Linked DNA regions of Danio rerio. The protein of the gene in region 1 purifies or fractionates together with the protein of each later gene. This does not show direct contact. Links are inferred from orthologs where the notes say so. Each region holds a gene or a part of one and is shown on either strand. Other genes may lie near its edges. The genes, in order: isca2 and iba57.

Evidence for each region.
Region 2: the proteins of isca2 (region 1) and iba57 purify together in Homo sapiens (co-immunoprecipitation; 4 studies listed by BioGRID and IntAct, with this or other methods). This does not show direct contact. The link is inferred for Danio rerio from reciprocal best matches to the Homo sapiens genes ISCA2 and IBA57.

What each region holds. Positions count from the first base shown.
Region 1 is NC_133192.1:48,004,725-48,022,482, forward strand, and holds isca2 (iron-sulfur cluster assembly 2 homolog, mitochondrial), read left to right. Parts: upstream 1-6,650; 5' UTR 6,651-6,672; coding exon 6,673-6,734; intron 6,735-7,214; coding exon 7,215-7,329; intron 7,330-7,842; coding exon 7,843-7,958; intron 7,959-9,747; coding exon 9,748-9,922; 3' UTR 9,923-10,403; downstream 10,404-17,758. Other genes in the region: npc2.1 (NPC intracellular cholesterol transporter 2 precursor), read right to left, coding at 4,925-5,011, 5,096-5,268, 5,356-5,463, 5,567-5,648. UniProt on the Homo sapiens protein: Involved in the maturation of mitochondrial 4Fe-4S proteins functioning late in the iron-sulfur cluster assembly pathway. May be involved in the binding of an intermediate of Fe/S cluster assembly.
Region 2 is NC_133177.1:3,584,208-3,598,688, reverse strand, and holds iba57 (putative transferase CAF17 homolog, mitochondrial), read left to right. Parts: upstream 1-8,978; 5' UTR 8,979-9,075; coding exon 9,076-9,401; intron 9,402-11,162; coding exon 11,163-11,509; intron 11,510-11,604; coding exon 11,605-11,996; 3' UTR 11,997-12,488; downstream 12,489-14,481. Other genes in the region: atypical chemokine receptor 2, read right to left, coding at 1-529. UniProt on the Homo sapiens protein: Mitochondrial protein involved in the maturation of mitochondrial [4Fe-4S]-proteins in the late stage of the iron-sulfur cluster assembly pathway. Operates in cooperation with ISCA2 in the maturation of [4Fe-4S] proteins.

The DNA.
Region 1 (17,758 bases):
AAAACACTATCATCAGCTGACATTACAGAAACTCCATTAGTTTATGTGTCAGCTCTGCCCTTATATTTGAAGTCTCGTTACAGTTTTGTTTTGTTGGGTTAAGTAAACGCATGCATTTTCTTTCGTTTACGGCAAAAATTCTATACAAAGCGTAGAAAAAAAATTGCTTTATAAAATTTACAGTTTATGTAAAAAAAAGAATTTCTGCAGTACAGACTTTTTTTGCAGAAAGACATCACTGCAAACAGAAAAAGCACCACAATTATAATAAAATAACAAAGTAATCTTCTTTTCTGCCCGGTCTTTTGCCACATGTTCTCATCCACATTATACTTGATATCTTCTGTGGCCCGGCACGGTAACTGTGGCCCTTTGGTCTATTATGTTTTTCCTATGGCGACATCCCCAGCCTTGTCAACATTGAAAATTTCATGTGGTACTTGATTGGGCTTTTACTTCATGACTCTCTGAAAGTAATTAGACACAGTGTATGCAAATGCTGTACTGTATATGTACTGTACTAATGAACTCCAGGTTTAAAGAGTAGTTTACTGCAAAACACACTGTGTAAAGTACAGTAATGACTGTATTACATAATCTTACATGGACGTATGGGTGACACAGTTCTTTGATGTGCTCACTGTTCTTTCCAAAAACCTCTAGAGTCCTCTATTAGAACATATGATCATGTGATTGGAAAAACCAAAACAAGACATGAGTGTGCTTTCTAGATGGGAAACAGCTGTCATATATATATATATATTTTTTTTTCAGTTGCCAATGAGAAACAGCATATTGCGGCTATATAAACAAATAAAGAAATATATATATATATATATATATATATATATATATATATATATATATATATATATATATATATATATATATATATATATATATATATATATTTATTTATTTATTTATTTATTTATTTATATAACCACAATATGCTGTTTCTCATTGGCAATTGAATAAAATACAGGGAATAAACTTGTGTTTCAATTCACAATTAGAAAAGCTGTTCACTTTGACTTTATCCTATATAATTTCTGTTTAGAACAAGGTGTTATCTGTTCTGACATACTGTGTTAAAGCATTTGTAAATTTGACTGTAAAATTACGTTGTTTTGTTCTTGGTTGTGCTTGTGTGTAAAAGAAGTTAAAGCATTTTAAATTGGTGTTAACTGGATGCCTTTTGCGTCAAAGCAACAAGAAATGTGTTAATTGTATAGCCCACGAAGACGGATGTTGTGCTAACTGTGTTAAGAGTTTAGGAAACTTGTTAAATGTATTGATAAAAGTGTCATAGCAATTGTAAAAAACTGTAAATGAGCTAAAACAACACACTTCTCAAGTTTTTTGGGGGACAATGTATTTGTTTTATATTCAATCCATTAAATTTGTAAAATCTATTGTTGCCTTAATTCCTTCATGATGTAGCAACACAAATCATTTGCGTGGAACCCAGCATTTTACAGTGTAATAAATGCCTGTCAATCAATTCAGCAGCTGGGGAAAACCATACTTGGTGTTTGTCATGGTGTGGTAGATCACAAAAATCGCTGGGATTTGGATGATAATTTAACATTATAATATATATATTGTTTACAAGAACTCAGGGTGTTTATAACACAATGTAATGGCTGAATACATTCCATACTACACACATCTGTCCCTAAACGTGTTTGTTTGGTAACTTAAGCTCTGCCATCTTGGTCCTAATTGAATTTACATTCAACATGCAATTTATTGTGGGTAATATTAGCCATTAGTGTACAGATGGGAATAGTAGACCATCTGGCAATTTAATTCAACAAAACATTCAAAAACAAGCATTTTGAAATCGTATCTCCTTGCAAACAAAAACAATTTGTAGTGTTATTTAGCTTCACAACTTCAGACATCCCAAGTTCCGTGGAGTGTCCCGCACACATGCATAGAGACTCTCTGATGCCCACAAATTAGATACAATCTCCCAGAAATTAATGTCTTTATGTACCCCCCTCCCAGAAATTACTTTGACCAAGTTGGATGTCTGTAACATGCTTAATAAAAATTACCAGAAAAGAGCCATTTTGACATTTCCCTACAGTTATTAGAAACTGTAGGGCTGATTGTGTATTCAGAATCAGTGTTTCTATTAATTCTTGGTTTGACACTTGCATTAGCTGAAGTTTCACAGCTAGAAAGTGTCTGAAAACTTCTAACACTGCCAGCAGTGTCAGTCTCGGTGCCAGTTTATCATTTGGAAAATCTGATTACAAGGACCATTAAGCGGTATGTGCTTGTGCGCAAAAGTGTGTGGGTGTTTCCCAGTGTTGGGTTGTGGCTGGAAGAGCATCCGCTGTGTAAAACATGTGCTGGATAAGTTGGCAGTTCATTCCGCTGTGGCAAACTGTGATTAATAAAGGGACTAAGCTGAAAAGAAAATGAATGAATAAGGTTACTGGATGGTTTGGTTTAGGATTGTGGTAGGTGTAGACATTCATAAAACAAAACAGGTACAGGTGTCTTAGTACAAGACATTATAAAAATAAAAACACTTGAAGCTGGCTCTGACCTTCTCCCGATTTTAGCCAAGGATTACAGGAATATTTTAGGTCTTTCCAAATTTGCCATAGATGATAAAATTGTGTCTAAAAAGCACAATGAGAGGCACTGCATATTGACACTTTGAAAATAGCATGCAACTATTGTAATTGTAATGTAATTTGATTTCAGTAAACAGGGCTTTAATACATTTATAAAACATCAATGCTTCTCTTTTGATGGACAATCTTTGTAATATCATAAAATATACAAATGATGCAGGTTCACCAAGAGTGCTCCCTAGTGGTGAATCACTGAACAGATTTCATAGTTTTGCGAGTTTGTATTTTATGAGTGCTGCAGTTTCCCCTACAGTCCCAAGACATTCGGTGTAGGTGAAATGAATAAACTAAATTAGGCGTAGTGAATTAGTGTGTGTATTTCCCAGTGCTGGATTGCGACTTGGATGGCATCCTCTGCATAAAACACATGCCAGGGTAATTGCTGGTTCATTCCACTTTGACAACCCCTGATAAATAAAGGACTAAGCTTCTCTTAATAGCGAGCCCACAATGGAACAAACAATATAATCTCTGAAACCTGATTTGATGACATCTGGCACTTTGGAGAAGTGTTCTCTTCATGAATGAATCCTGGTTTTCACTGTGCAAGGCAGATGGTAGACCGTGTGGATGGCGTCAAGTGTGGTTGAGTGGGTTGCTGATGTCAGTGATGTAAATACAGCGGCCCATGGTCACGGTGTGGTTATATTATAGGCATATGCAATGGGCAATGAAAGCAGCTGAATATTATTGATGGCTTTTTAAATGCAGAGATAGCGCAATGAGACAATGAAGCTCATTGTTGTGCCATTCGTCCACAAACACCACCTCATCTTGCAGCATGATAATGCACAACCCCATGTTGCAAGTTTCTGTACACCACTCCTGGAAGCTGAAAACATACCAGTTCTTGCATAGTGGACATGTAACTCACCAAGCATGTTTGAGATGCTCTGAATTGGTGCATCCAGCTGCATGTTCCAGTTACAGCCAATATTCAGCAACATTGAACAGTCATTAAAGAGAAGTGGACTACAGGTTACAATCTATGCAAGTCAACTCTTAAAAAAAAAAAAAAAAAAAAAAAGATGTGTTGCTCTTGATGAGGTTTTTGACCTGCATGTATCCCATGCATACATGTCCCTAGCAGTGAATCGTTTCAAGCTTTGCAAATCTTCATTTCTTCCGTCGCTAAATAAAACACATGACAGGTGACCTCTTAAAAAACAGAACTGCAACTAGCAGCTTGAATGTTTGACCTAAAAAGGAGAAGGTAGTTCACTTTAACCGTTTATATATAGCCTATTTATATGTGCTATTAATTGGTTCGCTTTCATTAAAACTAAAATGCATACAGAAAAACTAGATGGAGTGTTCATGGCCGTGAACAAATACTGACTCTTCATTAAATAGATCACGTAAAAATTTAATTTACTCACCATCAAGTGGTCCCAAACTTAGTTTCTTTCTATTGAAATTATTGTAACAAGTGACATTTCAGTGGACGTCCTGTAAATACTAAAAAGTTTTCAAAAACTAAGGTCGTTTCCTTTACCAAGACACCCAATGAAATGAAAGGGTGTAACAGTACACTCATGTAGTTGTATTTTGGGATTTATAGAGGTTTCCTAGACCAGAGGACTTATAACATTTCTTCCAAATTTAAAATAAGAAAAAAATAAAAACATTTAAAGAAATAAATAATAATAACAATTGATAAGTGTTGTGTTGTCTTGACTTGAATATTAAGCCTTAACATTTATTTAGAATTTGGAAGAAATGTCATCAGTAGTACATCAAACAGAAGAAAACAAACAAAAACAAAAAAAAACATTGCTTACAATAAAAAAGTATTTTATTTCAGACAGTAATGTACAAAGCTGCTTGTTACATTTGGCCACATTAGCCAGTATTTTAAGAAAATAATTTTCAGATTCTTTATTAAATAAGCAGATTTAAAAAGTTTAACTTAAAAGTTCGCAAGTAATCGCTCCAAGAAATGTGAATTAGAAACATTAGAAGTAGCCACACAGCAACTAGAGCCTAAATTGATCACCACAGCTTATCAACATCTCAATCTGGTCAATCATTAATGCAGTTTTAGCAACAAACTAGAATTTGGCAATGTTTGTACAGTGGGTCTGTGTGCATAGTTAAAGACAATACATTAAAATAAAATAACAAATCTGTCTTGGTTAGAAAAGGTAATAATATAATCATAAAATCTGAATCTACTATAAGAAATCTAAAAGCTTTTCAGGCAATCTTTCAGATGCTTCTGTTAATCGGATCCCTTTGTAAGCATTTTATCCTGACTTCAGCGTTGGCTTTCAGTTTACGATCTGGACAGGGAACTTGATGCAAAATAAATCTTTGCTGGAGTCGTCTCTTAGTTCCCATTCCACAACCACTTTTATCTAATAAACAAAAATAAATATTTAAGTGAAGATATACAACATTACAGACTTGCTTAGAACTAGAGAAGAAGCTTTAACACTTACTGCTGGATACTCAGTCTTGACAGGCAGCTCAGTGACATAGTTGTAAGGTTTCTGTGGAACAATAGGACACTGAATGCCAGATTTGCACCCATCGTCAATTGGAATAGGGAAGGGGACAGGGACACCAGCAAGCACACCATGAACCACAGCTTTACTGGTCTGACTTTCAACACCTAAGGAAATATAAGGGTTAATAGTTATTATTAACATCATAATTTCAGATTTATTCAAAAGTTTATTATATGTATAAAGCAACTCACCACTGCTGAAGGTTACATTAACGGTGTAGGATTGTCCCTTGTGAAGCTTGCAGGGCTGTTGCGAGCAGGGCTTGATGTCAACCTGAACTACTTTTCCGTCTACCGAGCCTGTAAGATGAAAGTGGAAATTATATACAAATATACAATTCAAGTAAAAAATAAATAAATTGAAATTGTTAAATATACAAACTTGATAAAAATAAAGACTTACCGCAGTCCACAAATTTTACCGGATCAGCACAAGTGTACGCGAGAAAAGAAAGTAAAACCACGCCGAGCACTCTGTAGTCCATGGTTCAAATGAATGCTGTTAGGAACCAACACACTAGAGTTAGTTTACTGACAAAAATCTAAACACAAGTAGGATAATTAATAATCACATGACAGCGAATATGCGTACACTTCCTCATAAACGTAAATGTCACTTTTCAAAATAGCACACAAAAACTTTCAGAGAAAAAGTACTTAGATCAAGTTAAAAGGTAAAAACATTAAATAATTTAATTAAATGTGTTTACTTACTAGGTTCTTCCTTCTGTCCCCTTTTCTTACACCCTGTTTCCTTGTCACGAGACCAGAATGACTGTGTCCTCCAATCAAATACTGTATGTATGGGCAGTCCTATGACGTAAAACGCCTTTTCGACGATCTCTCAACCAATGGTAGTGACTCGTTAAAATGGTCTGAAACTAGGACGTTCTTTTGTTGCCAGATATGTGAAAAACTTGGAAAACAAGTTTATCCAAGCAAACAATGTTTGCTTGGATATTCAATAACTCACTCAATTTCCTTCAGCTTACATCCTTTGAACCCTTTGTGTGTGTTTAACAGTTTTTAATCGTTAGACTAAACTAAACATAGTCTAAAATAGATTATCCATGGTATTTGTAGTAAAACTGGTTACACAAGTGGTAGACCTAACAGTCATTACTTTTTTATATTATGGCGAAACAATTGTCGATTTTAAAATAATGGTTTGCTAATAAAACATATTATTTAGACATATTAGTTCTAAGAAAGTTTTTATTGCACATTTAAGAAGATTTCAGTAAAAAAATGTTTCTGTGACAAATAATGGTACTTCATAGAAAGATCATTTGTGTTCTTATTTATCTAACTTAATTTTTTATGGTTCTGTGAAAGCTGTCTTTATTATAAAAATCAGATTTCTATTAACGTAAACATAGTTTACTGTTTTAAAACGTTTTGAAACCAAATAAAAATAACACCCTAAATACATAAAAATCCAACCTGGCAACCGATATTCTCGATAACGTCCACTAAGGCGCATGCGTAGTACTGTGTGAGTTACAGAAGATGTCATTCGCCCGGAGACTGCTTGTAAGCGCTCCTAAAACAGCGTCATTTCACCTTCTCAAGTATGCTCAATTTAGCGAAATTACGCTCATACATTTTGCATGTATTTTGTGATTTGGTTTGACTATGTTTTATGTCCGTACTTCAGCTAATAGCTAACAAAATAGCTTAGCTAGCATGCACAGGCAGTGAGATAACGACACCTTATTAGTATCCAATAACTGAAAGTAGCACATATCAGAACTAATTAATGAAAATCGCCACTTAAACTTATATACTGATTTAATTAAAATGAAATTTCTCGATTGCGTGTATTCAGTGGATTACAAACTAATCCGCGTTTTGCTAATGTTACACATATCATGTCAAGAATGTTAAATCTCTTTCTTAGTTGCTTTTTAACGTGAAATCATCATAATGTTTTTACAGAAGTAGGTTGACAAATTAGCCCCATAGGTTTGTTTTGATCAAGTGCATTGTGTGTGTGTGTGTGTGTGTGTCCACCATTCCCTGGCTGTCACGTGCGTTTTGTTGTTCTCCAGCCTGCTGTCAGTGAGATCATGTGCAGCTCCTCTCACCTCCACCTCCTCCAACACTGAACACCAGAATACATCCAGTACAGATGCAGAAGTTCACCTCAGCCAGTCCTGTGTCAAGGTGCGAGTTCATGTGTACTTCATCTTAGATACTCAGAAGTATAGTTGTGGCCAAATTGATGTTTACTCATCCTTATGGTTCCAAATATTTATAAATTTCGTTTGTCTGTTTCAACTCAAAAGAAGAGGTCTGGAAACCATTTAAATCCATAGTAAAAAAAAAATAAGGAAAATCATTTGATGCTGTTACCGACATTATTCAAAATATCTTCTTTTGCATGCAACAGAAGAAAGAAGTTTTGGGAGAACTTTCAATTTATGCGGTCACATTTACGCACACACCAGATAGGCACAATTAAATGTGCCTATCTAGCCATGAACATTTATTTATTCATTCATTCATTTTTCTTTGGCTTAGACCCTTATTTATCAGGGGGCACCACAGTGGAATAACCTGTCAACTATTTCAGCATATGTTTCATGTAGCAGATGCCCTTCCAGCCACAACTCAGTACTGGGAAATAGCCTTGGACAACAGCAAATATTAATAGTTGTACTTTTGTTGTTTCTGTAGAGGCTCGCTGAAATCATGGAGAAAGGACAATATCTGAGAATAGCAGTGGAGGGAGGAGGATGTTCAGGATTCCAGTATAAATTCTCTGTGGACAGTGTGAAAAATGAAGATGACAGGTAATTTACCTTGCACAAAAGGGGTTATAAAAAGTTTTTATTTTATTCATTTTTGCATGTGCTTTTTTCTTTGTCAAAATTAGATCTAGTGATAGGAGCTAGGCCTACATAAAAATGAAATATTTTTAAAAATCCAAACTTAATTTTACCAAACTTATAGATATTATTCATACAGTTTAGCAATCATAGTCAACTGAAAAAAGACCAATTTTGAAATTGTTCATGTTAAATCTAAATTAATGCTGTTTTTAGGGTTGTAAAGGCACACTATGTATAATTGTGTATCTTATTTGTATCAAAACAAACTGTTGTTTTATCTACTGCATGATAGGAATTGAATTTCAAACTTTAGTAGTTTTACAGCATTTTTACATGCTAATATTAATTCTTCAGTAGTTATCTTCAAACTATCTTTTAGTCTGGTAATAAAAGTTCACTAGACATTATATCATAATCACACGCCACCAGTGTTATTAGGCTAATGTCAAAAAAATCTGCTCATGACATCTAGTTGTGCTTTTTTAATACCGACAGGTGGTAGTAGTCTGTATTGTCATTCCACAAAGGGAAACCAGAACTAGTGCTGCACACATACAAATCATAAAGAAAGCAGCACTTGTGTACCTTTTTTTATTTATTCATTTCCTTTATTTAGCCAGGAGATCATGTTGAGACAGTACTGTCTGTTCTTCCAGTAACACCTGGTCAAGACGGCTGACAGCACATAAAGATCACAAAAAACAATACCACTAAATGACAAAATCGTAGTTCATAAAAAGGTCAGATCAAAAAGGTGGGGGTTATTAGATTGATGACACAGTAACAGCGTTAGTTGTAGCAAATTGATTTCACAGCACAATGTTTAACTTTAACGCCTTTACAGCACTTGCACACATTAAAAATAAAGGCCATGACTGAACATAGAGGACCATCTCCAAGTGGTGATCTCCAAAATTAAACCAAAACTTCTGTACAGTCTTGCGCTGTGAACATTGTGCCCACCAGTCTCATTATATGAGGCTACTATTAAATTAAACAAATGAATAATGACTATAACATTATATGATTGTTAGACTGTTGCACTTTTTTTGTGTTGTCAATATGCTCGTGTTTATATTGTTCCTTTTGGTGTGTATGCACCATGGTATACAATGTTTGTATGCTTATAACCAACTCTGAGGATAGTGGGGGGTCATGAGTCACTGGAATTGTTATTTTAGGGTCGCGGGCTAAAATGTTTGGCCCTGCACTAAACCTCTGCTCTATAGAACATGATGTTTGTGCCTTTGTTGCCAAATCTAAATACCAATGGCCATCAACAAAGAAAATGACACAATATCTAGAGATTTTTTTAAAGCATAACATATTTAATGAGTGAGTTCAACCAAAAATGAAAGTTCTATCATTTACTCATCCTTCACTTGTTTCAAACCTTTCTTCTGCTGATCACAAATTAACATATATTGAAAAATGTTCAGCCACTGACTTCCACAGTATTGTTTCTACACTGCTGTTTTTTTCAACATTCTTCAAAATATCTTGTTTTGTGTTTAACAGAAGAAAGATAATCATAAAGGTCTAGAACCGCCATTTCCTTAAATGTAAGGAAATGGTAAGGACCTGATCATTTTTGGGAGTGTAATGATCAAACAAGTTGTTGAGGTGCATATTTATGTAAAAAGTAACTGTGGAAATGAAAAACTGATCGTTTGTTGCTTGTAGCACTGGGATCTAGCATGCATACTAGGTGAAACAACTCTTGCTTTTATATCTCTTTCTTTTCCTCTAGAGTGTTTGAAAAGAACGGCGTAGGGATAGTGGTGGACCAGGACAGTCTGGAGTTTGTGAAAGGATCCACTGTTGACTTCAGTCAGGAGCTCATTCGCGCTTCATTTCAGGTGTTGAAGAATCCTCAGGCTGAACACGGCTGCTCCTGTGGCTCCTCTTTTTCTGTGAAACTCTGACTCTCTTCCTGTCTGCATATCAGTTCAGAACACACAGCTTACATGTCTGCTTATTTACAGGTAGAGTTCACCCAAAAAATGAATGTTCACACACTATTTACTCCCTCAAGTGGTTCAAAACCTTTATGAGCTTCTTTATTCTGTTCAACACAAAGATATTTTGAAGAAAGCTCTGACCATTGACTGCTATAGTAGGAAAAACAAATACTATGGAAGTCAGTCTTTACAGCTTTCCAGATTTCTCTAGAATATGTCCTTTTGTGTTTAACAGAATAATGAAGCTCTTGAAGGATAAATAATGTCAGAATTTTCAGTTTTGAGTGAACTGTCCCTTTAAGATCAGTCAGAGGCATAATAATATAATAATGTGATCAATGCTCAATTTGTTACTATGGTAAATGACATTCAGTGTTTTGTGTGTTGTACTGTATATAAGAAAGATTGTAAATATATATCTAAATAAAGTTATAAGATGATATGATATTCCCTGTTGTTGTTTTTTAGGCTTCTTGAGAGACAGCTCAGTTAGAATCTGGGATTGATCACAGAACTGAATTGATTACATTATAAATCTGTGGTCTCGAAGTTAATCTCTTATCTTGATTGTAAGGAGCTCATTATCATAGAATGTGATTGTTTTATGCTGACGAGGTCTTTTTTTTTTTTTAGTAATGATCGTTAAAGTGACGGTTCTGTGGAACTTAAATAATGCTAAAAGTATTTAAAATAAAATGCTTGCCAAATAGCCCTAACTGAAAAAAATACATTAATTTAACTATCTCATGCATTTTAATGATTTGAATTCCCAGGGTTTGTGTTTTTAGCTCCTGCAGTTTAGCATAGCTGTTTATGTTGTGAATATTTTAATGAAAAATATTTGACACATTTTCATACTTAAATGTAATACTTATTCAAATATCCAGTTGTTTAAAACGTGATATATACTATTCTAAAGGTAATTTTCAATTCATTTTATTTCAGTTCAAATGTTTTTTTAAAAATTAGGGGTTCAAAATCGGGTTACTTACATGAACCGTCACAACGGTTACTCAAACCGCCTTTGACAAATATGACACATTATCTCTCTATCTTCTATAGACATAACCTTGTATTAATATTATTATTATTATTATTATTGACTGCTATACGGAATATAAACTACAAAAGAGAAACAGGAAAATAATATATAAAAAAAAACAATTAAATAGATAAACACAATGCCAGGGTTAAGGACAATTAACCCTTGTGAATTGTGAAAATCGACAACCATTTCATTATGTTTGTGGCTATTTTCAAGTGGTGCTCGAGGGGGAGCTTAAGCTTGAGCTCCACCTTTTTTGCACTTCTTCTACGAGTGATGTCACTGGGGGTAGGGTTAGGGGTGGGGTTGGTGTACGCATTAAAACAGCTTACAGGAGGAGGAGTGACAGCTCATGCTCCCTCTCGCTGGAGCTCAGCTCTCCTCAAATGGCTCTGCAGCGAGCACCCTCTCGCTATTTTTGCCCCGTTGACTTTCATTATAACCACAATCTTTTTATTGCAAAGCCTTGACACCATATAATCATGCATTCTTGATTGTTGGTGCTTTTTCCTCTGTTGAAGAGGTGCAAGTTTTAGTTTTTACTCTTGATCATCAGTTGGCACTTTTAACCCTTTAGATAGACCTGTGCAAGACCTATCTAAGTTTCTGGCTTATATATATACATATACATACTGTATACTGTTTACTATGTTCTGAGAACTAAACTGCTTATTTTTATTTTTATCAAACATATTATGGTAATTGTGGAAAGGCCTCTCTTACACTCTTTCTCTCACCCATGCACACATTCTCCATATTCAAGCCAAAAACTATTGTTTTCTTTTTTTTTTCACTGTAACTTATGATCAACAGTAAAAATGACAAACTGAATATGGAAAACCACTAACAATCAAGAATGCATGATTATATGCTGTCATAGCTTTGCAATGAAAAAAATGGGCTTATAACATGACATATACTGTAAGTCAATCGGGAACACAAAAAACTAACATAACAAAAGGGTATTAAATGTGCCCAGTGTGTTGTTAATTGTTTTTCATTATTTCCAAAGAATTTTACCAAGATATGTTTCAAAATAAGATCTGTAACCAAAAACCATTCCACTTGCTAAAACACAGAAATAGTTTTGACCGAATTAAGACTTAAAATCATGAAAACAACCCCAACAGCACACAAAAATGTAAGAATAAAGATATTAATTACAAAATCAAGAACATATAATGATATAATTATCTATTATAAGAGAGTAATAAGAATGCGAGTGACACAGTGGTTAGCACGTTCGCCTTGCAGCAAGCAGGTCACTGGTCCGATGTTGGACTGGGTAAGTTGGTGTTTTTGTGTGGAGTTTGCATGTTCTAATCGTGTTTGCATGGGTTTCCTCCAGGTGCTCTGGTTTCCTGCATAAGTCCAAAGACGTGGTACAGGTGAATTGGGTATGCTAAAATTGACCGTAGTGTGTGAATGAATGTGTTTGAATGTTTCCCATTGATGGGTTGTGGCTAGAAGAGCATCCGCTGCATAAAACATATGCTGGATAAATTAGCCGTTCATTTCGCTGTGATTAATAAAGGGACTAAGCAGAAAAGAAAATGAATGAATGAGTAATGAGAATGCCATGATAATAATGTTTTCAGGACTTTGGAATTATTAGATGTAGGGAGTGTTCAGGTATGTTTTGAGGTCTTCATTCATTCATTCATTTTCTTTTCGGCTTAATCCCTTTATTAAGTAGGGGTTGCCGCAGCAGTACAAATTGCCAACTTATCCAGCATATGTTTTATGCAACAGATGCCCTTCCAGCTGCAAACCCAACACCCGGAAACACCCAGGACGGCAGTACACACACATTACAGCCAATTTAGCGTTTTCAATTTACCTGTACCGCATGTCTTTCGACTGGGAAAACTGGAGCACACCAAGGAAACCCACCCGAACAAAAGGAGAACATGCAAACTCCAGCCAGAAGTGTCAACTGAACCAACGACCTTCTTGTTGTGAGGCGATCGTGCTACCCACTGCACCACCATGATGCCTTGTTTTGAGGTCTTTTAAGGCATAATTTGCAGGTGGAAATAAATTGCTGCGCTTAAACTGCTATGTTAAATCAATCTATTAAAATGCAAGCACTTGTTAATTTAATGCATTATTTGTTTAGAGTTTTATTTAAAATATTTTTGTTCCATAAAGTTTGTAACCAAAAGCTTAAAACCCTGTCAACATTTACTCACTCTTCACTTCTTCCAAACGTATTTGATATTTCAGGTAATCCTCAATCAAAGTCTGACCATTTGCTTCCGTGTTTGGAGTGGTGTTTGGTTTCGGTTCTTCTCTGTTGACATCAGTTTGACACTACAATATTCTTAACCACGCCCCCTCTTACCGTTAGTTTGCTTTGAGGAAATGATGTGAAAAAAGGGCAAAACCCTGCCCCCTCAATATTCAGTTTCAGTTGGACGTACATCAACATTCTGAAATACATCACGTTTTTCAAATATTTTAACTGAAAGATCTAAACTTTGTGAGATCATCTTGACCACATCTACATGCCAATATATTCAATATATAGATTAGATATTTGTGTAAAACAGTCTTACATGAACGCACCACTTATGTGTACATCTTTTTTTTTATTATTAAAGTTGGCCTTTAAGAAACATTTCACAAAAATATACAAAAGAATGTCTTTACAAATGATATTTACAAGAAAATTAAAAGATGCATTAAGCACATCTCTTTCAATCAGAATGAACCAGAGACAAGGTTGCATTTTGTTTCAGTTCACGCTGAACTTGGACAATCCAGATTAGTAAAGTCCAACAAAAACAATAAAAAACATCAGAATAATCAAATAAATGATGTGATGTCATAAAGGCTTCAGCAGCAACATGAACAGTGATTTCAGATAAGACAGCGTTGAAACAAACTCTTCATTCGTTTTCTGAGGAATTGCATTAGTTTTTTTTTCTTCTTCTTTTAAACTTTGATCCCTGACATGAAACACAAAGCTCATACCTACTCACACGAACAGACGTCTCAAGTTCACTAATCAAGCTAGAGTTGCTACATATGAGGTTAGGAGTGTCTTCTACTGTTTAGGGAGATCACGTTCAAGATGGACATGAAAAGACCACTGGACTACCACAGTGAGCAGGTCAAGTATACAGTGCATAGAATGCTTTGGCATGCTGACATCCTAGAATATAACGCCAGTGTTACATTCAGGGAGAAGGCCACAGGAGATCCATGAAACCTTGAAAACAACCACCAGAAATGAAGACGACAGAAAACAGAATATAATATCAAAAACACCACACCTAAATGAAGAATAATAAATAAAAAACACGCAACGGGTAGTTTAAGGCTAATTGTTGTTAGCTTGCTACAAGTTCTTTTTCATTCGGAAGAAACTCTTTTAAACATCAATACAGACGGAATCCAAAATAAATGACTTGTAGCTCTATTTTTTTTTTCTTTCTTTAAAAAAGACAAATAAAAGTGAAGGGTAAACACATACACGTCTGATGGATCTTTTACAGTATGTTGGGTCGTGTGACACCCAACTATCATTCAGAATGGGTGACGACGGCTCATGCATCTGCTGTAAGACTGTGTAAAGATCTCTGTGAGTGTGTGTGCACTCATGCTGTCAGCTGGACTGGAGATGCTTTTGAGGCAGAGCGAGGACACAGCGGGATCTCAGTGAGGAGTGTGGACACACCGCCATACAAACAGACTGAAAAACACACACAAGTGTACCATTAGAATGGGAGCATTTCCAATAACAACAACCCAGTGATTCTTGATTCTGGGTAGTCATTGAAAGCATTCTGCCAAGTAACTGATCTGATCGCTGCCCACCAAATCTGATGGTTTCATGTCAGTTTCTTCATAGTGCAACATAACTGGAGAATGTCTGTCAGTCTGTTGGATGGTTGTTTATTAAAGGTTTAGGACACCCTAGAGAACTTTTTTTTATATTAACAGATATGTGTGTGTTGAGCATTAGTTAAGACAATGTTAGCACTTGTCAGCTTTAATTGTGGGGAAAACTGGATAATTTTGAGCTTTTGTCAGCTAATTTCAGCTTCCGGGTTTAAAATGATTTTTGGGGCGGGATCAAAATTGGCGACGTAGCGCAGTACTGCAAGTGCAATGATGAGGCGTCGGTTTCTCATTATTATTTATAGTGGAGTTTTCTTATCCTATGAGAAGAGCCGGCTGCTTAATTATTCATGAGAGCACGTGCTTTCCGAAGGCAAGACAGACCTGCCAGTTTCAAGCAAGCTGTGAGACACGGAGTCACGGACCAACGGCACGCAGTAGCCGTTCATGAAGGCTCGTATGTGTTTGTTTCTATGATCCACGGGGTTTGTTGTATGTTTTTTTTCCCCGCGATCTTGTCAGGGCGATCATACATCAAAGCTCTGTGTGTGCTGCAAGCATTTTTGTCGGGAGAGCAGCACGAGAATTAGAGAATGGCGGACGCTGTCTTTTATCGTTCACATTTAGACACATCGCCGTGCTGCTGTGTTTGCCTAAATCCTCCAGATTACCAGCAGGGCTAATGGTTAAAATAGGCAGGTCAGGAGACCTGCTGCACTGAGTCTGCATTCAGATCTATAATAGACCCGGGGATCGAGGGAGAATCCTCATTTATAGTGTTTACATGAACACACTTATCTTTATAATGATAAAAATTATGGTTATATGTATATGAAATTACAAATAATAAATGTAGCAGGGCATTAAATTACTGTTAATTTCTTTGCATTTTAACTTTGTGAACTATAAACTCATGCGTCTCATTTGTGTCTCATTTTGTGAGCTAACTGTCAACAACAGTTCACTCACGTTCTCCCCTGCTGGCCACGCCCACTCCTGCCCTATGCTCGCGGAGCTCCACGCCCATTAATCATGCATCTTTTGTAAAAATTCTGAAATAGACTTTAACCGAAAGTGGGGGGTCTCATGGCCCTTTAAGTCTGTCTTTTTTTGTTGGTCAGTTGATGTCTATTTCTCTGTCTGTCAGTTTGTCTGTCAGTTGTTTTGTCTGTCTGCTGGTCAGTCTATCCATCTATCTTTCAGTCAAGCTGTCAGTTTTGTCGTCTTTCTTAGTCTTTCAGTCTGTCTGCTGGTTATCTATCCATCTATCTGTCAGTCAGACTGTCAGTTGTTTCGTTGTTCTGTCAGTATTTCAGTCTGTCTGCTGGTCAGTCTATCCATCTATCTTTCAGTCGTTAGTCCGACAGTTGCTTCATCTGTCTTTCAGTCTTCTAATCTGTCTGCTGGTCAGTATATCCATCTGTCTGTCAGTCAGTCTTTTAGTTGTTTCATCTGTCAGTCATTTAGTCTGTTTGCTGGTCAGTCTATCTATATGTCAGTCGGTCAGTCAGTCTGTCAGTTGTTTCATCTGTCAGTCATTTAGTCTGTCTGTTGGTCAGTCTTTCCATCTATCAGTCAGTCTGGGAACTGTTTCATTTGTCTTTAAATCCTTCAATCTGTCTGCTGGACGGTCTATCTATCTATCTGTCAGTCAGTCTGTCAGTTGCTTCTTCTGTCTGTCTGTCTTTCAGTCTGTCAACTGGTCATTCTATCAGTTTATCAGTCAGTCTGGGAGATGTTTCGTCTGTCTTTAAGTCTTTCAATCTTTCTGCTGGCCAGTCTATCCGTCTATCTGGCTGTCAGTCTGTCGGTTGCTTCGTCTGTCTGTCAGTCTTTCAGTCTGTCTGCTGGTCAGTCTATCAGTCTACCTATCTGTCAGACAAGCAGTCCATTGTTTCATTTGTCTGTCTGTATTTCAGTCTGTAAGCGGGTCAGTCTGTCCATCTATCCGTCAGTCAGCCTGTGAGTTGCTTCATCTGTCTGTCTGTCTTTCAGTCTGTCTGTTGCACAGTCCACCCATCTATTTTTTCTAGCTGTCAGTCAGTCTGTTAGTTTTTTGTCTGTCTGTCAGTCTTTCAGTCTGTCAGCTTGTCAGTCTATCCATATATCTGTCAGTCAGTCTGTCAATTGCTTCATTTATCTTTCAGTCTTTTATTCTGTGCGCTGATCAGTTTATTCATCTATCTGTCAGTCAGTCAGGCTGTCAGTTGTTTCTTCTGTCTCTGTCTTTCAGTCTGTCTGCTTGTCAGTCTATCCGTCTATCAGTCAGTCAGTCTGTCAGTTTTTTTGTCTGTCTGCTGGACAGTCTATCCATCTATCTGTCCGTCAGGCTGTCATTCTTTATCTGTCTGTCAGTCTTTCACGCTGTTTGCTGGTCAGTCTATCTGTCAATCTATCTTTCAGTTTATGTGTCAGTCGTTTTGTTTGTCAGTCATTCTCTCTGCTGTTCTGTCTGTCAATTGTTCTATCTGTTTTGTTAGTTTGTGGTTCTGTCTGTTGGTTGGTTATACAACCAGTCAGTCTATCCTTCTATTTGTCTGTGTTGTTTTGTCTGTCATTCTGTTCTGTCTGTTGCTTTTTCTGTTTTGTTAGTTGGTTGCTCTGTCTGTTTTTCTGTCGAAATTTCTGTTGGTCAGTCTATCCATCCTTGGTCTATATATCTATTTGGTTAGTTTGTTGCTTTCTTACTGTCAGTAGGTAATTAATATATTTGTTGTCAGTATCTCTGACACTTGTCTGTCAGTCAGTCTGTTTGTCTTTCTGCCAGTCTGTTAATCAATTGGTCTGTCGGTTGTCTGTCTGTCTGTCTATCCGTCAGTCAGTCTGTTAGTTGTTTTGTCTGACTTTCAGTCAGAAATCTGAAAAGTGTCTGTCAATTGGTCTATCTATTTTGTTATTTTGTTGCTCTG
Region 2 (14,481 bases), on another chromosome or scaffold:
ATTTTTGCAACTCCACAAAGCTGACATGAACAGCCGCAGCCAAAATTGAGAAAAGCCACACGATGGCACACAAAACGCCGTTCCTCTTTGAACTTCTGAAGATCCTGAGGGTGGAATCAACGCGTGCGTCGTCCAAAAATCTCTGCAAGCTCAGACTGGCGACAAAAAGATTGCTGCTGTACAAACTAACCATGTAAACGAACGTGATCGCTTTACAGCTGTGATCGCCGAAGATCCACTCGCTGCCGGCGTAGACCGCCCAGAAAGAAAGGCTCAGTGTGAACAGGATGTCCGATATGACCATCTGAAGAGGTAAAACCATCCTCAGAGTCTTATATTTGACCAGCAACACCACAAGGGTTAAATTAGCGATAATCCCCAGCGCACAGGTAACAGAGTAGAACGTAGGTAGAAACAAATAGCTGAACTCCTTAACGTGCGTCTTCTTGCACAGTCCAAACTCCTCAAGTCCATCAGAATTGTAATAGTCCTCATACAAGCTGACGTCCTCCGGGTTTAAAACATCCATGGCTTGAATTCAAATGTTTGTTATTCACAGATTTGCTATTCAGATCTGGCTTCAGAGATTTTCCTCAAAGACAGCACTTTTTTTTTCAGTAGATTAGTGCGACACTTGCCTGGAAATCCTCTCAAGTCATTCTTTAGGACAAGACCTGTGTCCGGGAAACAGAACAAACAGTTGTTCTCTAAGCATGGAAAGAATGCATCCAGCATTTTGATACTAACACAATGAATCAGAGGAGGTAGTCCTGCAGTTTATAAAAACTGTTTTAGGGTATGCCTACATCAACAATAAGAAAGGAAATTTGCTTGACTGAGCATTGGGAGGAGCAGGAAAGGAAGAAATGACTCTCTCTCACACACACTCTCACACACACACATATTAAAAGCAGAAGTTATTGTTTTTCTGGCATGACTAGCATCTTTGTAAATCACAGATGTGACACTTAAACTGTGAGCGCGACTGAAACTAAACTAAGATGCTGTTAAACTATTGATTAATGCTATATTTGAAGAGTTTAGATGCAAAAAAAATTAAAAGTGCCTTCTGATATGTTCCTAAATTAGTTTTTCTTTCTTTTTCTTTTTCATTTTTTTCTTTAGGTGGAGTTATTTCACTTTAAAGGCAATGCAAAGAACATTATTTGGCATAAATGTGAAATTACTCAACCTATACACAGAAGCCTCAGAAAAAAATACACTGCTTTTCTTACTTAGATTTTTTTTTGTCTTGTTTCCAGTCTAAATATCTCACAATTCTTAAATCAAGAAGAACTTTCTAGACAAGCAAAACATATTGTCTTGTTTTCAGGAATAATATGCCAAAGCAAAAATAATCTGCCAATGGAGTAAGCAAAATAATCTTGTTTTTCCTTTTGACATAAGATTATTTTGCTTACCCTATTGGCAGATTATTTAGCTTGTTTTAAGGAAAAACTCACTTAATGTGGGCATGTTATTTTTTAAAGGGCACCTATGGTGAAAAAATCAAGCTGTTTGGACAGACATGTGTGTAAGTATAGTGTATATACTGTCTTATTGGGGTGAAATAAACACACCCAGTCCTTTTTTTTCAAATTTAACAACATAAAAACGGTGGACCAACTGTAGCGGTTTTCAGATCGACCGCAACTTTAAGTATGAGTGCGGTCCCCCGCCCACCAATATTGATTGACAGCTGCGCGCATTAACATGTCTCCATAGTAATGCATATAGTCATATCGACAAGACAGGACGAGTGCAAAGCAACTGGGAATAAAAGGTCTGTTCAGTTTGCTAGAATCATCAATCATCATCAGACGTGATCAAGAGTGAGTTTTACAAGTTTAACATGTTTTAAAACAGAGCACGTGTGTAATGAAGTACAGTCATTCACTTCATCAGCACAACCGCGTGTCTCTCTCACTGTCTTTCTGTGTGTGTGTGTGCGCTATGTATGTATGTGTCTGACTGTCTACGCTATGTATGTGTGTGTGTGTGTGTGTGAACTCATTGTTGCAACTCCCCAAAAAATGCATCAAATACTGTAGTAATTCTCACAAACGTTACGTGAGATCTGCTTCCTGAGGCAGCCGAGGGCGGCGATTGAGGCATGTTGCTGACAGGCACGTGGGAACGGTGGGCAGGGATGACTAGCCTTAAAGGCCCAGTGCAAAAAAACAATAACAACCTTTTCCCGGCTATAATACAGACACTTTAAACAGCTATAATAAATACTCTGATGGGTGTTTTGAGCTGAAACTTAACAGACACATTCTGGGGACACAAAAGACTTATAATAAATATGAAAAAAGGGGTAACCTTTAAAAAAAAAAAAAAAAAAAATATATATATATATATATATATATATATATATATATATATATATATATATATATATATATATATATATATATATATATATATATATATTTAAAATTTATGTGCCCTTTAAAACAAGACAATATATTTTGCTTGTCTAGAAAATTCTTCTTGATTTAAGAATTGTGAGAAATTTGCACTAGAAACAAGACAAAAAAATCTAAGCAAGAAAAGCATTTTTTTTTTGCAGTGATCCCATTTTAGAAGAAGATTTCTGGTGGCACTTTGAAGTTTTTGCATTCAAACTCTTGATTTAACGTTTAAAACAAGCTGTTGAGATGAACAGTTTTATGTTAAAATGTCATTCATGCAGACATCCCAGGTCTCCCGGAAGTTGCGGGAGTATTCCTCAAATGCATAGACACTCCCGGATGCCCGATATGAATCATAATCTCCCGGAAATCGCGCGCTTCCTGCACGGTCTTTAAATATGTTGAACAGCCCTCTCTCCACCGCATCCCTCGTAGCTCTTCAGGTACGTCGCGCGCAACTCACCCCCACCGCTCTTCAGGCAATGTTATGTCACTTCGCACACACAACTCCCACCGCTCTTTGGGTACGTCTCGCGCGCACACGCCCCCCTACCAAAATACGTCGCTCACTCAATGCACCCCATCCCCCACCCCCGCTCTTCAAACACCCACTATCAACTCTGTATCCCCCGGAAATTACTTTTCCCAACTGGGATGTCTGTTCATGTGAAAGCAACCGTAATATTAATAATACTAATAAATTCTGACCTTTACTTGAACTAGATAAAATACCAAGTCATTAAAGAGCCCCTATTATACATTATAAAAGGCCATATTTTGGTTTTGGGGGTGTCCAACAAAAGGCTGATATGCATGCAAGCTCAAAAAACATGTTCATTGTCTTATAATATGCATTTATTTTTACCTAATTATCCCAAACGACTCCCATATGATTTGTTCAGTGATTTATTTGTTCCCAAACCCCTCCTTTGCGTGATGCTAATCAGCACTAATTGGTCCGATGACCAGGGCCAGACGGAATCTGCAGATATTTTTTGCTATTTCTGCAGAGAATTTTGGTAAGAATCTGCAGATTTCTGCCAAACTATTTTGGGAGTATCATAACTAAAACCTTAATATGTTAAAAAAATATATATATTTTTTTACTTTTATTTAATGTTTAAAATGCAAATCCAATTAGATTCAGTTTATTTGGTAAACAAAGCAAGTCTGTCATATAATATGTCTACTAAAAGACAGAAAATATCACTGTACAAACTGCATTGTACATAAATTAGATGAACATTTTCATATTAGCCAATAATATTACCGTACTTAATTTAAAAACGGAATAAATATAGATTTACACACATTTACTCAAGTAAATAAACAGAATTAATGATGGGCTAAAAATCTGCTGAAAATCTGCGCGCGCAAATTCCGTGTGGGCCTACCGATGACCTATTCTGTTGTGATTGATCGAATGCGTTCAGCATGAGACAGAGAGAATGCCCACCATGGTCATAAAGTAGAACAAAGTATGTGAGAGCCCAGTGCAAGAATGCAATAAAGCAATGAGGTTAAACACCAGCATATATACTATTCTGAACCCTATAATAACAATGTAATAACAATGACACAATTCCAACCCAGGCTCATTTTGAAAACGAAGTCCTGTGGACGTTTCTGGAGGTCGCAAATTATGGAGGTACGTATGGCTGCATTTCATTTTTTAAGTGAGCGCTATATGTGGCGGTATGACTCTGTTCCTTTTGGTGCTTACCGGCTGACCACTTTACTGTGGGGCTTTCCCGCCGCAACCAATTTTACCAGTTAGCTCGTCGGCGGAATTGAGAAGCAAAGAGGAATTAACCACGATGACCGGGTTCTAGTCTGGGGAAGAACAATTCCAGAAATCAGGATTAGACAAAGGATGAATCATTTATCTGACTCTGAGTCGACTAAAAGAATCTATAGTTTTAAACACGGTTCACTCTTCATCTTCGGCCTTTGTCCCGCATGGTTGCGGGGTCGGCTCTTTTTGGAACAAGTTCTCCATTTAAGACTTGTCCATAAGATAACAACATTTTTTACACCTTCCGGCCGGCCTGTCACACTTATACACTCATACATACACTATGGACAATTTAGCCTAACCAATTTACCTGTAGCATGTCTTTGGACTGTGGAGGAAACCGGAGCACCCGGAGGAAAACCACACGAACGCAGGGAGAACATGCAAACTTCACACAGAAACGCCAACTGAGCTGAGGTTCGAACCAGCGACCTTCTTGCTGTGAGGCGACAGCACTACCTACTGCGCCACTGCTTTGACCTTTCAAACATGGTTCACTATCAGCCGCTGGCTGTGGAGTTGCTGATGAAAGTGAAGAGCGGGCGGAGAGATCACAGATGAAAGTGAAGAGCCGTGGGGGGGTTTGGATTGGAGCGGGCCCTTGATAATGTCTCTGGGGCCCCCCTAAATGTATGGGCCCTTAGAATCGTCCTAACTTTACCCCCTCTAGCGGCGCCCCTGGCTGTGTTACACACTGCATGGGCGGTAATTTTCAAAAACGCAATAATAGGGGCTCTTTAAACTACATTTTATTCGGTTTTAATTGATTAAAAGACTCCTGGGTAAAAACCTATTGATTTAATATGAAGGATGATGGAGAAAAACCTTATCTATACATATTACAAATTATATATATTATAAATTATAAGATTTTTACGTATTTTTCTGTTCCAAATATGCCCGATATAATTATGTGATATTTAAACTTTAGTCTTGATCACACCATCATGATCCAAATGTATAATAGTTTTTGTTTTGCTCTGAACAAAGATAAAGCAAGACATTTTCCATAGGCAGTGAGCAAAAACAAAACCCCTTTTGTTTTTGAAGGATATAGACTTTACATCTGCCAATGTTTTGCTTACTTCCTTCAGTTTTAACGATTTTACCCTTAGGGTTGCCACATTTCCAAATAAACTGCTGAGCTCAGGGTAGAACTTTGGAACTAGTGGAATTTCCTCTGAAATACCATTCAGAAAATCATGACTGCTTGCACTTTTTTAACAACAACTACTTCTGAGTTATCAGAGACTGTGACAAAAAACATATATAAACACACACACACACACACATATATTATATATATATTCTGTTTAACATAGAATATTTTTTTTCAAAACATTTCTAAGAATAATAGTTTTAATAACTCATTTCTAAAGCCGCCTTTCCACTGCACATGACATTTGAACACGACTGTCGGAATACGCTCCCTTGTGGCAGCCGCACAGTATTTTCAGTGTTGTCGTGCACCGTGGGGGAGAAACTGATTCACACGGTGTCCGAAATAAAGGAGTGCAAAAGCAAGAGCCTTTATTCTCTGTGCGTTTACATGGTTTAACGAATGAATGAATACTAAAAACTCATAGACCGCTAACATATTGGAGGGAATGTGGGGACAACATTAAAACATATATTTTTATTACTTTCTTACTTACATTTATGAACAGAAAAGTTTATTTTTTTAATATAGAGTTTTTAGATTAAAAAAATAACCAAATAAACTCCCATTTCTCATCTCGCGCACATGGATCTGCTTGGACAAAACTGGAATACATCATATCCGGTCAGCAGGTCGCATACGGTCTAGTCGCAGAAGTTTGAAATATTTCAACGGATCCGAATTGAGCTGCGAATTTTCCGCATACGGAGATGATCGGAACTCCACGCAGCTCCCGGACTGCTCTCCATTGGAAATGAATGACTTCCGGTCTGTCGCTTGTCGTGTGCAGTGAAAAGGCGGCTTAATAACTGTTTTATTTTATCTTTGTCATGATGACAGTAAATAATATTTGACTAGATATTTTTCATGACACTTCTATACAGCTTAAAGTGGCATTTAAAAGCTAAACTAGGGTAATAGGTGAACTAGGCAGGTTAGGGTAATTAGGTAAGTTATTGTATAATGATGGATTGTTCAGTAGGCTATCAACAAAAATATATAGCTTAAGGGGGCTAATAATATCGTCCTTAAAATGGTGTTTAAAAAATTAAAAACTGCTTTAATTCTAGCCGAAATCAAACAAATAAGACTTTCTCCAGAAGAAAAAATATTATCAGACATACTGTGAAAATTCCCTTGCACTGTTAAACATCATTTGGGCAATACTTAAAGAAAAGAAATTCAAAGGGGGGCTAATAATTCTGACTTCAACTGTATATGTAGGGTGGTGCGGACGATTGGGGGGGGTCAGTTTTTTCAGTTATGTTCGGTAATATGCCTCAGTGAACCAAAGTTACATATTTAATTCAATATCTAATAATTAATATAGACTAAATTGCAGGTATATATTTATATTATTTTATGTATAATTGTGTTTATTGTAAATTCCTTCTTAAAAACTCTACTTTTTGTATTAACATTATATGTTAGGCACCTAGGGTCTGAGAGTAACGTAATTTCGTTTCTCTATATGTCCTGAACATGTGGTTGAATTGACAATAAAGCTGACTTTGACTTGACTTTGACTTAATCAAGCTTTTGTTTTTGTTTTAAGGGATATTGAGTGGTTTTCAATGACATTTCTGATATTAAATAAACGATGACATGTTTGCATACCTGCACTATTAATGGACGACCATGAAAGACTACACATGTATTTTTGTTTTACTTTTTAACTTTCATGTGTGAGCAAGTGTATAATAAAATACAAACTATGCATCTAGTTTCATGGACACCTACAGTACAAATGCCTTTTTTATTGGAAACATGTTTAGTGAACACTGTCTGTTGCTGCTCTAGATTTGCTGGTTTCAAATCGCTAAATTAATATTTTTGATACAAACATGCATTGTTAATAGTATGAACTATTATAGAGCTGGTCAAATGTTATTATTTAATTAGAGATATTATTTAAGATACAGATCAGAGCAAACTATTTCTTAACTATTAAAGGGCTATTATATATACCTGACAACACTCTTAGTTTTCCCAGGAGTCTCCAGTATTTCACACCCATCTCCCGCCACCCTCCTATTTTGTTATTTCTCCCAGAAAACCCATGTAATTAATAAATATATAAAGAAACGTATACTGATTAATATCCTGTTAGTCATCCAATGTGTCTGAATTTATTTCCACAACACTTTCGATTTACACTTCCTTTCTCCCTTTTTAGATTTGAAAAAGAACCTCACCATGTGAGTTTGGATGCATCGTAAATTTCTCCTCCTGTCATTTTTTTTTCATCCTTCTTTTTTTCGACACTTCTTGTCGACCTGCCAAATCAAAATAAAACCATGAAACGCTAGCATGGCAGTTTTTGAAAGGAAAACAAACAAAGTTGGCCCTTGGTAACCTTTGGTTTGGCCTATAAAGGGAGGGAGAATGATATGGAGTTTAATAGGGCGAATGCCTTTTACACAGATCGCCATTTCGAATTTAACGTAGGCTAACCTTTTGTTCTGTTTAATTGAGGAGCTACAAAAAGCCAGCTAAAACTAAATGTTTATAAATGAATCAGACTTTTAAATGCAAATACTGCACTTGGCAGATGACAATGCACAAGACATCAGTAAGCAAATCAAGGCAAAGGCAGGAGCAGCTCGACTAGTGTATTCAGCATTGATCTCCATTATATTATAAATGGGATTGTTTATGTTTTTACAATAAGTTCAGTATAAAATGTTAAAAATGATACTGCATCATAATTTAATATGATTTAAAGCAACGTCTAGTTATTTTTAAACATTAGCAAATAAATGAAGAAATTACACATGGCAAATTTAATGTAATACAGTTTGGTATATTTAATGTTGGCACACAGCCCTCAGTTATTTGGTTTTTGGCCCTTTATAAGAACAATTTGGCCACCCCTGGTTTACATAATGGCTGTTTACTTGTCTTTATTCCAATTGTAATATATAGTTCAATTTGACATTTTTTCTCACTTCTCATTTGCACAAGACCTTTTCCATCTTAGTGTACCCATCCATGAAGTAATGAAGTAACAAAGAATAAGTAATACAGCTTTGTATCTAGCCATTTAGCAGGAGGACACCAACAGCACTGTACAAATCTGTTTATGTAATTAAAGAATGTCTAGATCTGGCTTATTTACCGAAATAAATCTACTTTCACGAAGGAGTTCGTCGCCACAGAACACAAAAGTGTATTGAAGATACATTTAACAGGAATAAAAATAGCTGTAATCACTAAAAATCAAATATAATCTATGAAATGCTGAGCATGTTTACAATTTTAATCGTAATATTACAGGCTACAATTAACTTTTACTCGACGCTATAACATAGCTTACCTTTAGTGAACAGTTGTTTGACGTTTAACGATATTCAGTGAACTCATGAATATTCATATTCCTCCGCACACTTATAATTCGTCTCACAAAAGTGTTAAATAAGATTTCAAATAATATATATATAGCTACACAAATCTGTTTATTTATATCTCCATACAAACTGGGCGAATATCACAACGAAGTACTATTAAAATTATGATAAAACACGGGATTAGTTTGACGCCTCAAAGTGAGGGCGGACGCAGCTAACGTTACGCTATGAATATTTATAAGATAAGCCTCCGCCATAGTATTTGTTTCGTACACAAAACGCAGTGCAGTATGGGAATGAAAATGGAAGGTTTAAGGTTGGAAGGTTGACTTGCTGTTGCTGCATTCAGAAAACAACATAATGCAAAGGATGATTTTGTTTGGTGGTGCTTTGAGGGAGATTGTGGTGCGGTCAGGCGGACTTCAGGCGCACTATTTTCTATGTACAAGCAGGACTCGGATTAAAACACACTCTCAAACTCGAGCTGCCAGCAGTACAGCACACTTTAGCTGTTACAGATTACCACACAGGACTGTCCTCAATGTATCTGGACAAGACACGAGCTCATTTCTTCAAGGAATAATCACCAATGACATGAATCTTCTGGGAGAGGATTCACTGAATGCCATGTACGCTCACGTGCTCAATGTTCAAGGCAGGACACTGTACGACATCATCCTTTACAGGTAAAATTAACACACTAACTAACTAACACTATTAACATTTAATTAGCTTAAAATGTTGGGATTAAACACTATATGTAATATTGACGTGCTTTTAGAAGTGCTGGAGTTTAGTAAATTGGGTTCGTAAAATGTGGGCGTGACCTGATTCAGCATTATCTCACTGTCACACATTGATAGTTTTGTATTGACGTGAATAGATATGAAGCTGCTTTTGTACAGTTCTATTTTATATCACTAAAGTCAGTGTTATTTATGTATAATATTATGCTGATATGTCCAGTGGCTTACAAATAATGAATATGACAGAATTGTTCATCCACATAAAGCCATGGTGTGTATTAGACTAGTACACAGGTGTCAAATCTAGTTCCTGGAGGGCCGCAGCTCTGCACAGTTTAGTTCCGCAACATGAAAAATAAGAACTGCGCCTATTTTTGCCAAAAACTTTCTATAAATAAGTCACTCTGGGTAAAAAAATTGCATTGTTGATAGAAAAAAGTTTGAAAAATTTATACTTCTCATGTTTTTGGTAATTTGGTAATAATCTGTAAAGGTGTTAAGTTTTGTGTTTGCCAAAATATATAGTTTTCTAACTAGAAATGTTAACTAAGTATTTTATTCTTAATTTTATTTGCACACACACAATATATATATATATATATATATATATATATATATATATATATATATATATATATATATATATATATAACACACATATACACACACATAAATAGAAACAAAGCTGCACAATTTTATTACGTTTTTTTACATGAATATTTAAATTTATGTACAAATTGTATCATATTCAGATGTATTTTATATCTAAATAATATAAATAAAACTTTTCTCATATATGTGTGTATTTATATATACATAATAAATATATAAACAGCATACATACACTTAAATTATTATTAAATTAAACTTTTATTTTGAATGCGATTAATCGTGATACATTTTTGTCCAGATAGAATTATTATTAATAAACTATCAGTGTTTTATGTAAATAATTGCAAAAGCAGATATATTTCATAACTAAATGGATGATTCTAAATGTTGCAATGTCTGTTAATCTCCATCTATATTGCTATGGTTGTCACTATGCCAGTTTCTTTTAGTTTTAAAGGGAACACCACATTATGAGGATAACATCCCTGAAACTGTGTGTAATTGGCCATTGGCATTCTTAGTAGCATTAGTAGCATAGAAAACATTCATTCCATTACTAAAATTTAAAACATTGACATATTTTATAATTATACATAATATTTTATTTGATCTATTTATTGCTTTTACTTTGACTTTAACCACCACCGTCCAATTGGCCCTCCGAGAAACAGTTCATTAATTTTCTTTTCGGCTTAGTCCCTTTATTAATCTGAGTTTGCCACAGCGGAATGAACCGCCAACTTATCCAGCATATGTTTTACGCAGCAGATGCCCTTCCAGCTGCAACCCATCACTGGGAAACACCCATACACTCTCATTCACACACATACACTACAGATCATTTAGCTTAATTCATCTATGGCGCATGTGTTTGGACTTGTGTGGGGAACCGGAGCACCTGGAGGAAACTCACACCAACACAGGGAGAACATGCAAACTCCACACAGAAATGCCAACTTTTTTTAATAATAAAAAAAAAAAACATTTTTAAAGGTCAAATATTATTACTTTATTTTAGACCCCCCAAAAAAAGATCTTGTTTTTTATGTTCTCCCTGTACGCATTAACGAAACTTACTTTGTTCTTCAGTTTAAAAGGAAACCCAGATGGACTCAACGGTGTACTTCTGGAGTGTGACAGCACAGTGCAGGACTCTGTTATGCAGCTTCTGAAAGTCTACAAGATACGTCGCAAAGTGAACCTCAGCGTATGTCCGAGTCTCTCGCTCTGGGCTCTGCTACCTCACAGTAAAGAAGCTGTCCTGGGAAGGCCTGATGTTACCACTACTGATAAAGTGCTGGTTTTGGAGAAAGACCCAAGAACTGAGCTCATGGGCTGGAGAATGATCACCAGCGCTCAGGACAATCCACTGGACATTGTGTCTGCTTGTCGACTGGGCAACACTGAAGAATACCACAGGCATCGCTATGAGATTGGTATTGCTTGTACATTATTATTATTTATGTAGACTGGGCTTACTTCTCAGGTCTAGCTTGTACAACCAGTGCTGTATTTCATTTCATTTTCACAGGACTGCCTGAAGGAGTCGGAGATCTTCCCCCAGGTGAGGCTCTTCCACTGGAAGCCAATCTGGTCTACATGCAGGGAATCAGCTTCAGCAAGGGCTGCTACATCGGGCAGGAGCTGACGGCCAGAACTCACCACACCGGCGTGATAAGAAAGCGTCTGATGCCTGTCAGCTTATCTGCTCCAGCCGAGAAGCTCAACCAGGGGTCAGCTCTTCAGACAGAGGGAGGAAAACCAGCAGGTAAATACAGGACAGGAGTGGACAAGCTGGGACTGAGCCTCGTACGCCTGGCTCACGCCAAAGAAACACTCCAGCTCAAATCATCTGGTGACGAGACGGTGACTGTACTAGCCTCTGTGCCCGACTGGTGGCCAAAAACCCCCCAAGAGAAATAAATCACAAACACTAGAAATGTAAGAGTGTCATATTTGAAGCCAGAACATTTACACAGAGGTACCGATTGACACCTTGAAATAAAAGAAGTTTCTTTGGGTTGATCTTCTAAAAGAGTTCACATTGCAATTGTATGGAGCCCCTTCTCGGGAACATGCAGAATATACTGACACTGAGGAAAACTGTTGAATAAAGTTACACAGATTACCACCTGTCAACAGTGTTGGGCAAGCTACTTGAAAAATGTAGTGAGCTAAGCTAAAAGCTACATGGCAAAAGTAGCTTAGCTACATCTAAGCTAATTTTACAATTTTCATTTTTTTAATTGAAGCAACTTAAATCCCAAGTCAATTATTTTAGTGATCAATAAAACTGCCAATGTAACATATGAGGCAGAATAGTTCAGTTCAGTTATTTACTGTAAATAATATGCTGTACTAAACAAACATTATGGTATATAACATCTAAAAAATAAAATAAAATAAAAAATCCAATAAAACCAGGTGTTGCCCATTTAAAATACTATAGTAATTAATAGTAAAGGGAAATTTTTTGGAATAAGCAGTATGGTGTGTGTGTGTGTATATATATACATATACATATATACATATATATATATATATATATATATATATATATATATATATATATATATATATATATAAGTATTTTCTGTTTTTGAGCACAGCATCATAAAATTAAGTTGTTGCATCTTAACGTACTTCTCGAGGTATGGTCACGAGCAGGGCCGGAGCAAGCTGAACTGCCGCTCTAGGCAGAGGACGATCACGCCGCCCTCAACCCCAATGTGAAAACGAAAGTGACCGGTTATGAAAATGAAGTGAGGTGTCGCGGACCTTTATTCTGCCGCCCTATGCGCGGATATAACTGAGGACGCGCGGGTTCTGAGGGAGGGAGGTGTCGCCGACGTTGCTCTCTCTATTCTGCCGCCCTATGCAAGGAAATAACTGAGGACGCGCGGGTGTCGCGGACCTCTATTCTGCCACCCTATGCGCGGATATAACTGAGGACGCGCGGGTGCTGAGGGAGAGAGGGAGGTGTTGCTGACGCTGCCCTCTCTATTCTGTCGCCAATGCGCGAATATATCTGAGGACGCGGGTGGTGAGGGAGGTGTCATGGACATAACTGAGGACGCAGGTGGTAGGGGGGTGTTGCGGACGTCGCCCTCTCTATACTGCCGCCCCAGGCGGCCGCCTAGGTCGCCTCTATGAATGCGCCGGCCCTGGTCACGAGGAATCCTGCTTCAGAAATAATTCCTCTCTCTCAGTAACGCACAAAACTTGTTGTCGAAGAAGAAGAAATCAACATTCTCTCATTCATATGGATTTACTTTCATCGGCTAGATATTGGCCTAACAGCTCTGTGAATGTCGGTGCCGTCACTTATTGATCCGCGATTTGTAAATGTAGCTTGTGTGGACGCCACTGCGCTACTTGACTAATAAAATAGCTTCGCTACTGAAAAGCTATTTGATTTAGAAAGTAGTGACGCTACCGTCACGCTACTGAGAAATGTATTTAAGCTAGTAGCATCACTACTTGGAGCGACGCTACTGCCCAACACTGCCTGGCAATAACTTTTTTTCCATGGGACTCTGGCATGAATAGGCAGAGTGATCTGTGTCTTTACTATAGCTTCAACAAACTTAGTTGGTGAAAAGACGCACAACCAAAAGGAACCCACCAACAGTATCTGAGGTTTTCACTAAAATTACTAAGTACAAGTGTGAAAGCGAGAGATTGAAGCAGTCTACTGATGCTGTGACACATTACCTGAAAGACTCAAAAGACTGAAGAGTTGTTAGATGGAGACAAGATTAATAAATATCACCTTTAACAATTATAGTGAGACGTGATTCAGCTGTACATCCTTGATAAACTGTCCAACGTGCACTGCTTTCTGGGCTGACTGCTGGAGCTCAGATGCTGCAGTGCATGACAGAGTGTGTGTGCTCACGTGATGTGCGTTTTCAGTGGTATAGTGTGGAAAGAGGGCTTTATAGAAATGGTAGATGAAATGCCAGTGTGTGGATGTGGATTGTTTTTTGTTCTCAAATGCCATTTTAAAACTAAGACGTATTGTAAATGGGGCTTGAGTGTGTATTTTTCAGGAGCAGGTTTCTGCTGCGACGAAGGAGGGGCGGAGGATCGCGTCTATCTACCCAACCTTAAAACATACAGTCTCAAGGCTGATTTATACTTCTGCGTCAAGCGCATGCGTATGCTATGACGCAGCATACAAGTTGACGCATAGCCCTACGGCGTAGCCGTAGCTGATGTGCACCTCTCAAAAAATTTAACTACACGTCGAAACGACACGTAGCGCAAGCTCTGTGAATGGTCGGCTTGGTAGCGCTGACAAATCTGGGCGGGACCGAGAGCCGCGCTAGCCCAATGGAGCGATTGTTTACAAGTGTGGAGTCCCGTAAAGGAGCTTCGGATGGAAAGTTTTGTTTTGTGTTTACCT